Linked DNA regions of Lytechinus pictus. The protein of the gene in region 1 purifies or fractionates together with the protein of each later gene. This does not show direct contact. Links are inferred from orthologs where the notes say so. Each region holds a gene or a part of one and is shown on either strand. Other genes may lie near its edges.

Region 1 (7,046 bases):
TGGCCAAAGTTCATTGACCCTAAATGACCTTTGACCTTGATCATGTGACCTGAAACTTGCACAGGATGTTCAGTAATACTTGATTACTATTATGTCCAAGTTTCATGAATCAGATCCATAAACTTTCAAAGTTATGATGGTAATTCAACAGATACCCCCAATTTGGCCAAAGTTCATTGACCCTAAATGACCTTTGACCTTGGTCATGTGACGTGAAACTCATGCAGGATGTTCAGTGATACTTGATTAACCTTATGTATAAGTTTCATGAACTAGGTCCATATATTTTCTAAGTTATGATGACATTTCAAAAACTTAACCTTAGGTTAAGATTTTGATGTTGATTCCCCCAACATGGTCTAAGTTCATTGACCCTAAATGACCTTTGACCTTGGTCATGTGACATGAAACTCAGGCAGGATGTTCAGTAATACTTGATTAACCTTATGGCCAAGTTTCATGAACTAGGTCCATATACTTTCTAAGTTATGCTGTCATTTCAAAAACTTAACCTCAGGTTAAGATTTGGTGTTGACGCCGCCGCCGCCGTCGCCGTCGGAAAAGCGGCGCCTATAGTCTCACTCTGCTATGCAGGTGAGACAAAAACTTCAGAGTATAAGCTTTAAAAGGACATACAATATGTTATATTTAGGCAAAGATTTAATTTTGGCTTCAGAGGGGACAATAGCTTGGACCTGCCCCTATAAACTTCTCTGAGATAATACAAAATTTTTGAAAGAGAAAAAAATTACTCAGAAGGTGAAAAAACAAAAATTCCTTTCTAACTTCACCAGGCTTGTTGCACATGTGTTGTCTGTAATATGGTGGATGGCTGTCAATAATAGCAATAAATTGAGGGCAGTATTGCATAAATTTATTTAACTTAGGCGTTAAAGAAAATTATAATGCTTCAACTTACCCCGCGTTCCAAATAACCCCGCTCTCCCCTAATAATTAAAATCGGCATTTGCACAGCTAAAATATATTATTTTATCAACAATTAAGCAATTATTTTGGGGTCTAGAGTGTGATTTAAATCGCCAAATTGATCGCGGCGCACAACTCTACGCGTCCGATATTTGGAAACTGCGTCCGATTTTCTGCAAAAAAAAGCCTCTGGTAGTAAGTAAATAATTTCCGTTTTTCGGTTTACCATAATTTTTTCGATTCTATTTTTTATGAAATTGATATTCAACATTTGTCCTACAGATATAAACATGATTTTTATTTGATTCAATGATTGTATTTTTGTTTTGGTCCAATTATGCTTAACTTAAGTGTCCGATATTTGGGCACTTTAGGCCTACTTACTAGTATAACGTTAGAATCTGTGTTCTTAATGAACATGATGAGTTACACTAGAGGCGCATCGCCAATATGGGAGACTGTCTCCCAAGAGAGAGATTATCTCCAATATCAGAGACTTTTGTAAATAATTTGGGTATCCAATTTCAGAGACAATCTCCAGTTTGGGAGACCAATTTTCTTTGTTTACATTTGCTGCAAAAGGTTTACCTCGGCGGCAAATAAAAATGTGATTGGCAGATTCCTCATGAAAAAATTACCCCTTTTCACCGTCTACTTTAAAAATTCACCGTCTACTTTTGTTTTGATAAGGATTTTTGTTGTCATCCACACACAAAACAAATGGGCTTCTGACCCACCCAAGGGTTCATTACATGCCGCCGCGCACAGAAAATTCAAGCCATAGAAGTCGTGTGTTGTGGACCCAAGAAGTGAGATCCCAGCACGCGCGACCCACTAGTTAGAAATCCACTGCCAAACGCGGTTCGTGGTGCGAGGTTAGTATACTAATACTAACCTCGCAATACGTGTGAGTGCTTCTGACCTAAGTGAGACAAAATTTTGGGTGGAAAAAATAACGCTTTTGTTGGTGTTGTTTCTTTTGTTCTTTTGCAAAGCAAGTCTCCAATATGGGAGATTGTCTCCCCTATCGGAGAGTCTCCCATATTGGCCGTGCGCCTCTACTGAGTTAAGACTTAAGTATCACTCCTCTCATAACATGCATATTAACGTGCATTCAAATCTAGTCTAATTTCATCTTCGAGATAGCAGATGAATGCTGTTTCATTTTTTTTTTGTCCTAGAATAGATCTTCTGTCATGACATTTGTCAATGATTATCAAATATATCACTTAGGCCTAGTTAATTAGCAGTATCACTATCTTATTATCAGATTCAGAAATACTGTCTTTTATTAAAAGACAGTAGGCCTATTTCTGAATCTGAAAAAGTTTTAATTTTACTGATTACTTTTTAGTTTCGTTTTTTTTTGGTCCTACCTAACATAAATAATGGTATCAAAGTATATTTGGGAGAATATACTCTTTCAGGCCATACATAATAATCATATTTTCATGAAATATTTTTCCTTAAATTGGGAATTTGTGAAGTGTCACTGTCATTTTTTTTTTACTCAGGTATGTTACCCGGTAGTCTCACCTCACCCTACAAATTTGTCAACGTGTGGGACTGACTTTACAGTAGCGACTCCAAATAACCAGCGACAAAATAACAGTTATTTCATACAATCACAAAGAACCATGGAAATAAATAAGATAAATATATTACAAGGAGTTTAAGCTTCACTTACCATCTTTTTTGTTGAATTTAGGCTCTCAGAAATAGATTATGACTCTTTGTTTTTGTTACGGTCGCCGCTCTCTTCCGTGTGAACCCTCCCAAAATGGCAGAATAAGTACATCCGGGCTTTTCAAATAGGGACGCCCTCCCAGTGGTTTTCCTTATTTGGCAAAAATACCAAAGGCCTTTGCATGAATATTCAAGACGAAACTCTACATCAGTTTTCATTGTCTTATAGAGTTTTCATTAATTTCAGACTATTTCTTCATATCTATAACAAACCATCAGCTAATAATTAATGATCAATCAAATTAAGGAAATTCCTTCAGCTATTGATGGAGAATCCCGGGAGAGAGTGAACGAATTATTTCTTATCACCCTCATTCTACCACGCATTCTACACCCGGAAGTGTTTGGCTAGAATTTATAAATCAGATAAAAATCTGTGTATACTTGATTACACCGAACGTAAATTCCCCTTATCTTCATTTAATTACCATAGTATATTAAGATAGTACCATGTAGTGATTAAGGAAATTCCACAGTTAAAATGAAATCCATATCATTTTCACCAAACTTTGCACATAATAGTGGCATAAGAAGACAAAATCCAAATCCTGTCTTGGAGAGTTGACTCGGCCAGACGGCACAACTGTGGATGATGACTTTGATAAAGCTGAGGTGTTAAATGACTTTTTTGCATCAATATTTACGCAAGAAGATACCAGTAATCTTCCTCCATTTCTTGATAGACCCTTTGACTCTACACTTAATGATATTGTCATTACAAGAGATATGGTTTTGGAAAGATTATTGATGCTGGACAAAACTAAGTCTCCAGGGCCGGACGAGATTCCAAATCGGATATTGAAAGAACTTGCAGATGAACTAGCCCAACCTCTTGCCGATCTCTTCAATGAATCCTTGAGGAGTGGTTCTGTTCCTGTAGCATGGAAGATGGCGAATGTAACTCCATTATTCAAAAGAGGAGATAAACGTAATCCCAACAATTATAGACCAGTGAGTTTAACAAGTACAATTGGCAAAGTTATGGAGCAGATTATTCGTGAAAATATTATTAATCACATGGTTACAAACCAGCTGTATAGCTCACATCAACATGGATTCAGAAAAGGCAAATCATGTGCTACTCAACTTCTGGAAGTTATTGAGGAATGGACTAAGGATTTGGATAAAGGAAAATCAATTGACTGTATATATTTGGACTACAAAAAAGCATTTGATAGCGTCCCCCATCGAAGACTTCTGCTTAAGCTTCATTCATATGGAATCAGAGGTAGTGTCTTGAATTGGATCAGATCCTTCTTAAAGAACAGAGAGCAACGGGTGGTTGTTAATGGAGTTTTCTCAAATTCTGTTAGAGTCAGTAGTGGAATTCCCCAAGGGAGTGTTATCGGTCCGGAGCTATTTCTGATTTTCATAAATGATTTACCAGATGTCCTAGCTTCTCAAGCAAGTGTTATCAAGTTATTTGCTGACGATACCAAATTATTTGCTGAAGTTAACAACGATCAAGAATGGGAAATCCTTCAAGCTGATTTACTGAGGATTCAAAGTTGGGCAATCTTATGGCAACTTCCCTTCAATACAGGAAAATGTAAAGTCCTTCACTATGGCAGAAAGAACCTGCACTATGACTATAAGTTAAGTTTGGATGGCCCGACCATCGAAGTCAGCCACAGTGAAAAGGACTTGGGTGTCATTTTCGACGATCAGCTAAGTTTTTCTCAACACATAGATCAGATAGCAAAAGCAGGAAATAAGAAGATGGGGATCATCAAGAGATCTTTCTCATTCCTTGAACCTAAGAGCTTCAAACTACTTTATAAGTCCATAGTTCGACCTGCTTTGGAGTATTGTTCACAGATTTGGCATCCATACTTGAAGAAGGATCAGGAGAAACTCGAGAGAGTTCAACGAAGAGCTACAAAAGCAGTTCCAAGTTTACAGGTCAAAAGCTACCCGGAAAGATTGGCCCAATTGAAGTTACCTTCATTATCTTACCGACGTCACAGAGCAGATCTTGTCCAAGTATTCCGAATAACTCAAGGAACTGACGATCTAGAGACTTCTAAATTCTTCAAATTCAATGAAGACTCCAGAACTAGAGGACATATATATAAGATTGAGAAACCCAGAGCAAATACTCGAAAAAGACAAAATTCTTTCTCACACCGAGTAGTATCAGAGTGGAACAACCTGCCAAATCAAGTTGTGAAGAGTACTTCCATAAACTCTTTCAAATCAAACTTAGAGAAATCTTGGAACCTCAAAAAGGAAAAGTTTAACCCTGACCAATCCTTTACTTGCCCATGTTCCCATTAATAACGTTACCTGCTGAAACCACACATCGCCATATAACCTGTACCAGTTTATCTTCCACTATAATGACTTCATGAAATCATAGAAATTGGAAGGAGGAGAGGGGCAAACAAGTTTTTTAGGTAAAACTTTACGCCCACAACAAGGTATGTTACAAGGTATGTTATATAATAAGCCAAAGTGCAAAGATGTACGTGATTATGTAATTATATATTAGACCCCCGATTAGACCTGAAAACAAGGGATCACAATGTTGATTTATTTCACCGTAAAAACACATGCAAATTCAATCAGATTTTTCAAGAATGAGAGCCGATTCTGCTGAAGATGTAGTTACTATCTATGCTAGCGATGAGCCGATGAGGTCCCCGGTTTTGGAGTTATAGCAGGATGCAAATTCACCCCCGAACACTGTCTCCTGCAAGAAATTAACGAAAAATAATTATTAATTATTTTGAAATGGGCCACCAGACTATCACCCTATGTAGTGATGTCGGCTGATATCCTATTACTGGAGAATAAATAAGGGGCGGACTTTGTGCGTTCTTCCCCAAAAAAGATCCGACCAAGCAAAAAAAGGAAAAGGAGAGAGAAAGGGAAATGATAAAGAGTGAATATTATTTTTTCGATTATAGGTCAAAATTTATCACAAAACGATATCATCTTGTCAACAGGCAATATATTTTTCGTCCGGCGCTAGAAAAAGATTTGACTAATTGCACCACTGTGGTATATCATTTTAGTTTTCTTTAATGAATCCATGTACTTCCAAAAACTCTTCAATTCGTATGATAGATAGCCATTATATGCCTCGGTGTTATTCAGTTAACGTTGAATGAAATTAATATGATAGGTATGGAGATTCAAGCCAACTCGAGGTGTATAAATAGCTAAACGTTTTATAGACCCAGTGGCGTAGCTAGGATTTTTTTCCTGGGGGGCACAGGGGTCCATGCTTTTTAATGGGGGAACATTTTTTTTCATCTGTGTGTATGTGTCACAGGGGCGGATCCAGCTTTCGACACTAGGGAGTGGGGCCTGATATTATTTTCACCCATATTTTCCCCGATCGGCCGCTCAAAGTGGATTTTTGCTTGTTTGAATTTCGGGGGTAGTTTAGTCACAGTTCCTTCTTACGGGCTTCTTAGCTTTGAAAACAACATAAATATGAAATAATCTCATAAGCCCTATATAAAAAAGTGATTTTTTTTTTTTAACTTTCATGTATTTTGTCCTTCAAATTTAACCTTCTGGGCCATGTTTGTGATCTTGAACAAGATGCGTGAAATGATTACTGCGAGCAGAAATTTTAAATTACCGTTCTGGCCTGATAAGAACTGTTTGCAGTTAGCCACAAAGACGATACATATTTCAGCAATTAAATAATGCGAGCGCGACGCTCGAGCTGACAATTTTTGATATTCCGACCTAAAAAAGGTCATTCTAAGCAATTGTAATCATAAAAGGAATAGGTATGTAACTAAACAATTGGTGCGATTCAGATTTTAGACCTGAGAAAACGGGACACTCTATTCATGTTTTGTAAATCATGAATAGGGTTGGGCATCTTCCTAATAATGCGAGCATGAAGCGCGAGCAGAAAATTATTGATATTCTGTTCTGAAACTTGATAAGTTAAGAACGTTTTATATAAAGAACAAGCTGCCTATCTCAATAAACATGCGTGCGCGTGATTTAGATTTAGCCCTAGAATCTGAGCATCGATCTGAATACATTTTTTTATCATGAAGATTAATAATGCGAGCACGAAGCGCGAGATGGAAACATTCGATATTCCGATCTGAAAAAGAGTCAATTTAAAAACTATTTCAAGCACTGTGTAGGGAAATTTTGAAGTGGATGTGAAACACACTTAATAAACATGCGAGCGCGAAGCACGAGCTGATATTTTTTATTATCATTTTGACATAGGGCCGGGACATTCTAAGGACATTTTGTCATCATAATGAAAATGATGCTTATCTTCCTATTATTCCTAAGCGCGAGATGAAACTTGTCGATATTCCATTCTGAAAAGGGGCCAATTTATTTATTAGGAATTTATGAAAATATTATTTACTCATTTATTAATCTAATAT
Region 2 (7,244 bases), on another chromosome or scaffold:
ACATCATGAAATAAATATTCATAGATCTTTCTTTCATTTTACCTAAACCATGGTGATTCGGACAAAATACGAAAACTGATGCTCTTTTGAACGATTTTGGGGTCAGTCTGTTTAGGCAAAAGGAATCCCAATCAGACCTTCATTTTTTTAGGAGCGCAATCGCGCCGGCGCTCCTAAATAAAATAAGGAGAACAAAATATCGCGCTCCTTAAAAAAAAAAAAGGTTGCTGAAATTTCACATTTTACATCTTTATATTCATAAAATAGGCATAGATTCTATTTTCCATAATTCCTTAAAATTATTTTGATTTAGTTGGAAATTACCCAAAAAATGAAGAATATTCACCTCTTTCCTGACTCTGATTTATGATGTTAAACTCGGTAAATATTGTAGTCCCATGTGTAGATTTTCATGGTTTTGACCAAGTGTATAACAATCAACGATCGTTTTCAGTTAAAGGTCAAGTCCACCTCAGAAAAATGTTAATTATGCACAACTCAGTGACAAGCAAATGAGACAGTCGATGATGTCCCTCACTCACTATTTCTTTTGTTTGTTATTGTTAGAATTATACAATATTTCATTTTTTACAGATTTGACAATAAGGACCAACTTGACTGAATCATATAATATTAAACAATGCTAATTCCACATGTTTAGGGAGGAATTAATTGTTGTTTTACTTGACAATGAGAAGAAAATTAGATTTTCATATAATAAAATACAAAAGAAATAGTGAGTGGATGACGTCATCAGTCTCCTTATTTGCATACCGAACAGGATGTGCATATACTGTTTTGTGAAATTAAGCGAAACTTTAAAATGTCATAACTTTCTTATTTTAAATCCGATTTTGATGAAATTTTCAGTGTTATACTTGTTGGCTTACAAGCATTCATGCTTTCTTAGCAATCAGGTAAAAAATCACCACCACCACCTATTTTTCTCTTTTCATTCAAATAAACTTTTTGTTTGGGTGGACTTGTCCTTTAATGTTGCAACACCACGGAAGTCTACATGTGGGACTACAATATTTACCGATTGTAACATCGTCAATCCGAGTCAATAAAGAGCTGAATATTCTTCACTTTCAACTAAATCAAAATAATTTCAAGGAATTATGGAAAACAGATGGCCATTTCATGGATTTAAAGATGTAAAATCCGAAATTTCAGCAATTTTTTGTTAGGTTTTTTTTTTAAGGAGCGCGATATTTTGTAAACCCAGGCCTAGTTTCACCACAGTTTAATTAATAGCTACACAGCTATTGCATTTACAATTTTAAAAAAAATCTGCAATTTAGCATGCATGTATTGTATTAAATTGAGCTCCTATAGGAGAGCGATTCTGAGGAGCTCAACTGAGCTCCTCGAAAAAATAAGGAGAGCGATTTATTGGGCTCCATGAATTTATAAACGTGAAGGACTGCCCAATCATCATATTTTTCATATATTCTAATCATTGGTTTTTCTATGATCTCAGGTTTAAAGCCATGAAATTTTGTGCTCGGTGATTTTGACGACCGGCAAGGTCCCCACGGCTACCTGTACAGTGATTCCACCACTCATCGACCACCTCTTTTGAAACTGATCACCTTTGGCACTTGCGCGCATTTAGATTAAATTGCATACAAACGCTACGCACAGGAAACTAGGCGCAGCATCCATAGTAATGATAAAAACCGATTTTACGGAAAAAAAGAGGGATAAAATTTTAAAAAGCTGTAGATCTCCAGGACTAGCATGACTAGCAGAGGAAGGAGAAGGTGACATCGAACTGATTCGCAAGTCAATATGTTTTGCCACCGTGACAAACTGACAAGAATCGGCTGTAAAATTAACATTAGTGTATAGCAGCTGGTCAGTCCTAAAGAAGGATGGAAATTTGAAATCTTCATGTTCGTTGGTCACTGACATCTACGGCCATGACGGCTACGTGAATAGAATCTCAGTCAGTAGAGGCGCACGGCCAATATTGGAGACTGTCTCCAATGTGGGAGATTATCTCCAATATCAGAGACTTTTGTAAAGAATTTGGGTATCCAATTTCAGAGACAGTCTCCAGTTTTGGAGACCAATTTCCTTTGTTTACATTTGCTGCAAAAGGATTACCTTGGCGGCAAATAAAAATGTGATAAGCAGATTCCTCATGAAAAATTACCCCTTTTCACCGTCTACTTTTGTTTTGATAAGGATTTTTGTTGTCAATCACACACAAAACAAATGGGCTTCTGACCTCAGTGAGACAAAATTTTGGGTGGAAAAAATCATGCTTTTGTTGGTGTTGTTTCTTTTGTCCTTTTGCAAAGCAAGTCTCCAATGTGGGAGATTGTCTCCCCTATTGGGAGAGAGTCTCCCATATTGGCCGTGCACCTCTACTGTCAGTCAGAGCAAAGCAATCTATCTATTTTTTATTTCTAAAAAAAAGGAATTTTGATCCGCTCCATTTTCTGCACATGACTTGAGATGGAAACTAGCTTAAACCAATTAGATCTAGAGTCTAAAATCTTTGTGATTAAGATTCTTAGAAGAAAATTAGGTGGTCGATAAGGGGTACGTCCAACCATAAATATTTGACAACTCCGACAAACTTTAAAAAGTTAAAATTGCAGTCGAAAGTCAACTCAAATTCAAACAAGTCGTTCATAAGTCAACGTGATTGCTGATTTTGGATCCAGATCTACAACTCTAATGCCCCAACTTCCAGTCATATGGAATTCAACTTTGAAAAATAACATCTACCTGAGATCTGTAGGTTGATTAGAAACATTTAAATCGATATTTAATCTGTAAAGACAGAGTTCAATACAGGCACGCACGTACGCATTTACTTTTTACTCACACAAATTGCAACGTATGGGACTACATTTTAGAGAATTGCATTGTAAAGAACCTACGCGACACATCAAAATCAGAACAAAATAACGAACCCATCCAATAATAATATCACACACAAGAGAGCTCAACAATAAAATTATTATTCTTAGAATCATAAAATATCACAAACACTGAATTCTAAAGCACTAAGTTTGAGAAATATCGTTTTAAACTTCAACTTACTGAGATTAAAGATTGTCATTGATATTGTACGTAATAATGGCTGCCAGTTGTAATGCGTTTAGCGCCATCATGTGGCGAGATTTGCCCAAACAAAAGCCAACATACGTGACGGTTTCCGTATTGTTTTTTAATTTATATATCATTTCATCATACTCATTAACATCATCATCATCATCACCACCACCATCATCATCATCATCATTAGCACATCATCATCACCATCATTATCACCATCATCATCTTCATCACCATCATCATCATTATCACCATCATCATCATCCTCATCATCACCATCATCATCATTATCACATCATCATCACCATCATCATCATAATCACCATCATCATCATCATCATCATCATCATCACCATCATCATCATCATCATCATTATGATTTCTTGCTTCCCTGGTATTCTTTAAAAAAAAAACAGGCCCAGATAATAATGTAGACCTACAATCATATTTTAAATTTGTTTTTCCAAATAATGATATTTCAATTGTTTGTTTATGAGCTGTGTTGATCACCGACTTTAAACAATCTTTATTGTTATTATTACTAAGATTATTATTACTGTTGTTGTTGTTATTATTATCATTATTTATTATCATTATCATCATCATTATTATCACAATTATCATCATCATCATCATTTATTATTTTCACAATAAAAATGATATCAATATCAAAATAATCATCTTCATCATCACAGCATCACCATCATCTTTTTCTTCTTCCTCCTCCTCCTTCTTTGTCAATAAATTTCATATCATCATTTTTCAATCATTAATATCAGTATAACATCATTTATGGACATAATTATGACAGACTTCACTAGGTGATTTCATACCAAATAAGTACAATTTTATTATTTTCTCTGCAATACAAATTGAATAATACCTCAGAGAAACTCTTCAAATATCTAGATTTCAATGAAAAATATATGATGAATATCCTAAATGCATGTTTGAATGTAAATAATAATCAAGATAGAGCCCAAAAACTTTTTAGCAATGCCCAGAAATTATCGTCAGTGTCCTCCAAGAAAGGACTTATGGGTAATTTAACAATGTTTTTTATTTCAAACATTAAAGAGTACGTCGAAGGCTATCCAATGATGCAAAAATTATTTCATAATTTCACGTAAAACTCAAAATATCAGTAAATTAAAAGGACCTAAAGGTGAAATAATCATAAAACTTACCCCTACTTTGGGAAATTGATGTTATATCAAATTCATTCAAAAAATAAGAAAGATATCACATGCTGTGCTTGTCATAACATGTTGATTTTTTTTAATTAAAAAAAATCAAAGAAGACTTCTAATATTTTCCTATTAAAAATTTATCAAAGCAACCATACTTTCATTTTGCTAAAATAATAAAATACTCTTACTTCTGCATCAATTTACTTCGAAGGGAGGTACATGCGGGGGTACATGGATGAAAAAAAATAATAAAACAACATTCTAAGTTAAAATGAATGTTAGAAAATGTGAGAGAATTAAGGTCTAGAACATCACTTTATGTGCTCAAATATATAACTGCACAGGATTGGCAAGAAACTAATACATACATATACCACAAATGAAACAGACAAATATGTTTGACATTAACAATAAAATACCAAAACAATGTTTTTCTTACAGAACTTTCCAAATAAACATGCAGTATATACATGTATATATGTTTTACAAAATGACAGTATATGTTTACATTACTTGCTGATAGAAAGATCAGGAATCCTGTTTACAAATAATAATCAATTGCAACTTACAAAAAGTATCAGTGACTGACAAATTCTCATAAACAAATTCCATTATCAAGAAGGGTCAAGTACTGATAGTATACAAATTATTTAGCTAATCACTCGACTTTTGGAAGATTCATGTGGGGTGGAGTAAAGAAAAACAGAGGGAGGGGTCTCATTTCAAAAGGGAAGGGTAATATCTTAAAGAAGTCACAATTCCAGCTTGGAAACTATTTATTAAAGCACAGTGCAATTTTGAATGAAATCTTGGGAAGAAAATATGCTTGGCTGCCATGCCGGATCATAAACGCTTCTACAAATAATACAATTTAGTTTATCCTATTTTTATCAATCTCATTTAGTATTGGGCAATCATGAACATAACTCGGTGGGGTAGGGTCAGAGGCCCATAATGAAGATAAATAAGAAACCAATGATTCTCTGGGGGCAGGGGATCATATCAGGGGCGGATCCAGGATTTTCCAAAAGGGGGGGGGGAAATTTTTTGGAGGAAAATTTTGACAAGCCCCCACCCCCCAAAAAAAAAAAATGGTTTTCAACCACAAATTAAGGATATTTTGTACCTGAAAAAATTTGACAAGCAAAAAGAAAAAAAAAAGGTCTTCACTTTCAAAAGGGGGGGGGGGGGGCACATCTCCGCTTCAATGGCATTTTTACATTACAAATTTTAATTTTTCTTCTCAAATGGGGGGCACGTGCCCCCCCCCCTGGATCCACGCCTGGACCATATCTTCCTGATAAAATCTTCTCTGACCAATTTTCAAGTCAATATTGAAAACTGCAAATATTTAGATCCACATGTGCACACATGTTGTATGAAGAGGATACCTATGATATATTATATGTATATATTATATGTATAAATAATATATTCTATGCATAACTTATCACAAATTGTTGGCTGGGGTCTAGAAAAAATTTGTATCTTGAGACAACACATGTTTCCTTCTCCATTAAAAACAAATTTGTAGCAGAACCAACATAATTTGAACTTGAAATGGGTTATTTTCAGACGAGAGATGAGCAAAATGCTGCACTTGGTCGCTTTCTTTCGCACACGACACGACCGACATCCCAACGTTGCTTCCAAGTAGCCATGTTTTACTGCAACAAATAACAAGTTATTTTATGCATTGATAATTCGCCAGCAAAATGCTAAAAATGCTACTCAAGATTTTACTGCTTCTGTTAGAGGGCCCATTTAGATGCTTTCATAGTCCATTCATCTGCAGTGCTTTTTGGCTTTCATCACTTTTATACTCATTAGATTTACAGTGATATGTATCCCTGCCCCATATGTAAGCAGCCACCCCAAGACCAACAAGTTGCAGGGAAGGCTCTGTATCAAATAGCCAAAATAGTAATCTAGTCTTCAAAAGAAAAAATTAGCAAACTTGCTTATCTGAAAGGGTAGTTCTTCTTCTTTTTACTACCAAAATTCGAAGTTGTAAAGTGGAATATAAAAAAAACAAGATACATGATCTTTTTTTTAACCTCTTTTGTGTACTGCTTGGAATTTTAACCGAGAATTCACAGTATGCACATTGGTTTGACTTTTTAAAAATCTGAGCTAGAAGGTCACACTTGTCACCTGTGTCTGTGATATGTTACAAAAATGAAGCCCAGAAAAAATTGCGTTCGAAAATAATTATTTAGTGCTTCAAAAATTGAAATATAAAGTGACCGAAAACACCATCTTAATTTCATCCCATACACTTATGTGTACCATTTAGGCGTCTATAAGACGCCTATTTACAAAATCGGGTTAATTGCCTTGTAGTTTTAGCTTTTCATTCTCAATAATGGTTGTTTTCAGGGTTTATTAGTTCTAATACATGCACTTGTACACATGTTTCATCTTGGTTAGAGAATTTTTTAAATCGGCTGCTTTAAGATCAAGTTTAACTTCTTTTGTATTCAAACAAGCACTTGTGAGGGTCATTGTTGATCAATTTTAACAAATTATTTATCATTTTAAAGTTTAGGATATGTTCTTTCAAGCTAATTAAAAAGAAATCCCAAGATTGATTTGGGGCAACTAATTGTTGGTTTTGAGTGGCTGGTCACAAGTTACCTTCTGGCTTTCATTACCTTTATACTCATTTGATTTGCAGTGATACAGATATCATGTACTTATTCATATAATACACTGGGTTTCATTATGTATAAATTTATTGAGTATAATTTCATACTCATTGCAGTGATATCCTTGTGTATCATATTATATACTGGCTTTCATTGTTTTTATACTCGTCTGATTTGCAGTGATATATATCATCGGAAATCATATAATATACTGGCTTTCATTACTTTTATACTCATACTTGCAGTGATATATATCCCCGGGTATATATCCTTGTTAATCATCATCATCATCATTATCATCAGTGTATGGAAGAAGAAGGCAAGCCTGTCG

The links. Proteins that work in one complex are often made in the same cells at the same time.
Region 2: the proteins of F-actin-capping protein subunit beta-like (region 1) and CCR4-NOT transcription complex subunit 2-like purify together in Homo sapiens (co-immunoprecipitation; 4 studies listed by BioGRID and IntAct, with this or other methods). This does not show direct contact. The link is inferred for Lytechinus pictus from reciprocal best matches to the Homo sapiens genes CAPZB and CNOT2.

The regions. Positions count from the first base shown.
Region 1 is NC_087258.1:11,166,499-11,173,544, forward strand, and holds the start of F-actin-capping protein subunit beta-like, read right to left. Parts: upstream 3,006-7,046; 5' UTR 2,618-3,005; coding exon 2,615-2,617; intron 1-2,614. UniProt on the Homo sapiens protein: F-actin-capping proteins bind in a Ca(2+)-independent manner to the fast growing ends of actin filaments (barbed end) thereby blocking the exchange of subunits at these ends.
Region 2 is NC_087263.1:5,245,287-5,252,530, forward strand, and holds the start of CCR4-NOT transcription complex subunit 2-like, read right to left. Parts: upstream 3,111-7,244; 5' UTR 3,080-3,110; coding exon 3,061-3,079; intron 1-3,060. UniProt on the Homo sapiens protein: Component of the CCR4-NOT complex which is one of the major cellular mRNA deadenylases and is linked to various cellular processes including bulk mRNA degradation, miRNA-mediated repression, translational repression during translational initiation and general transcription regulation.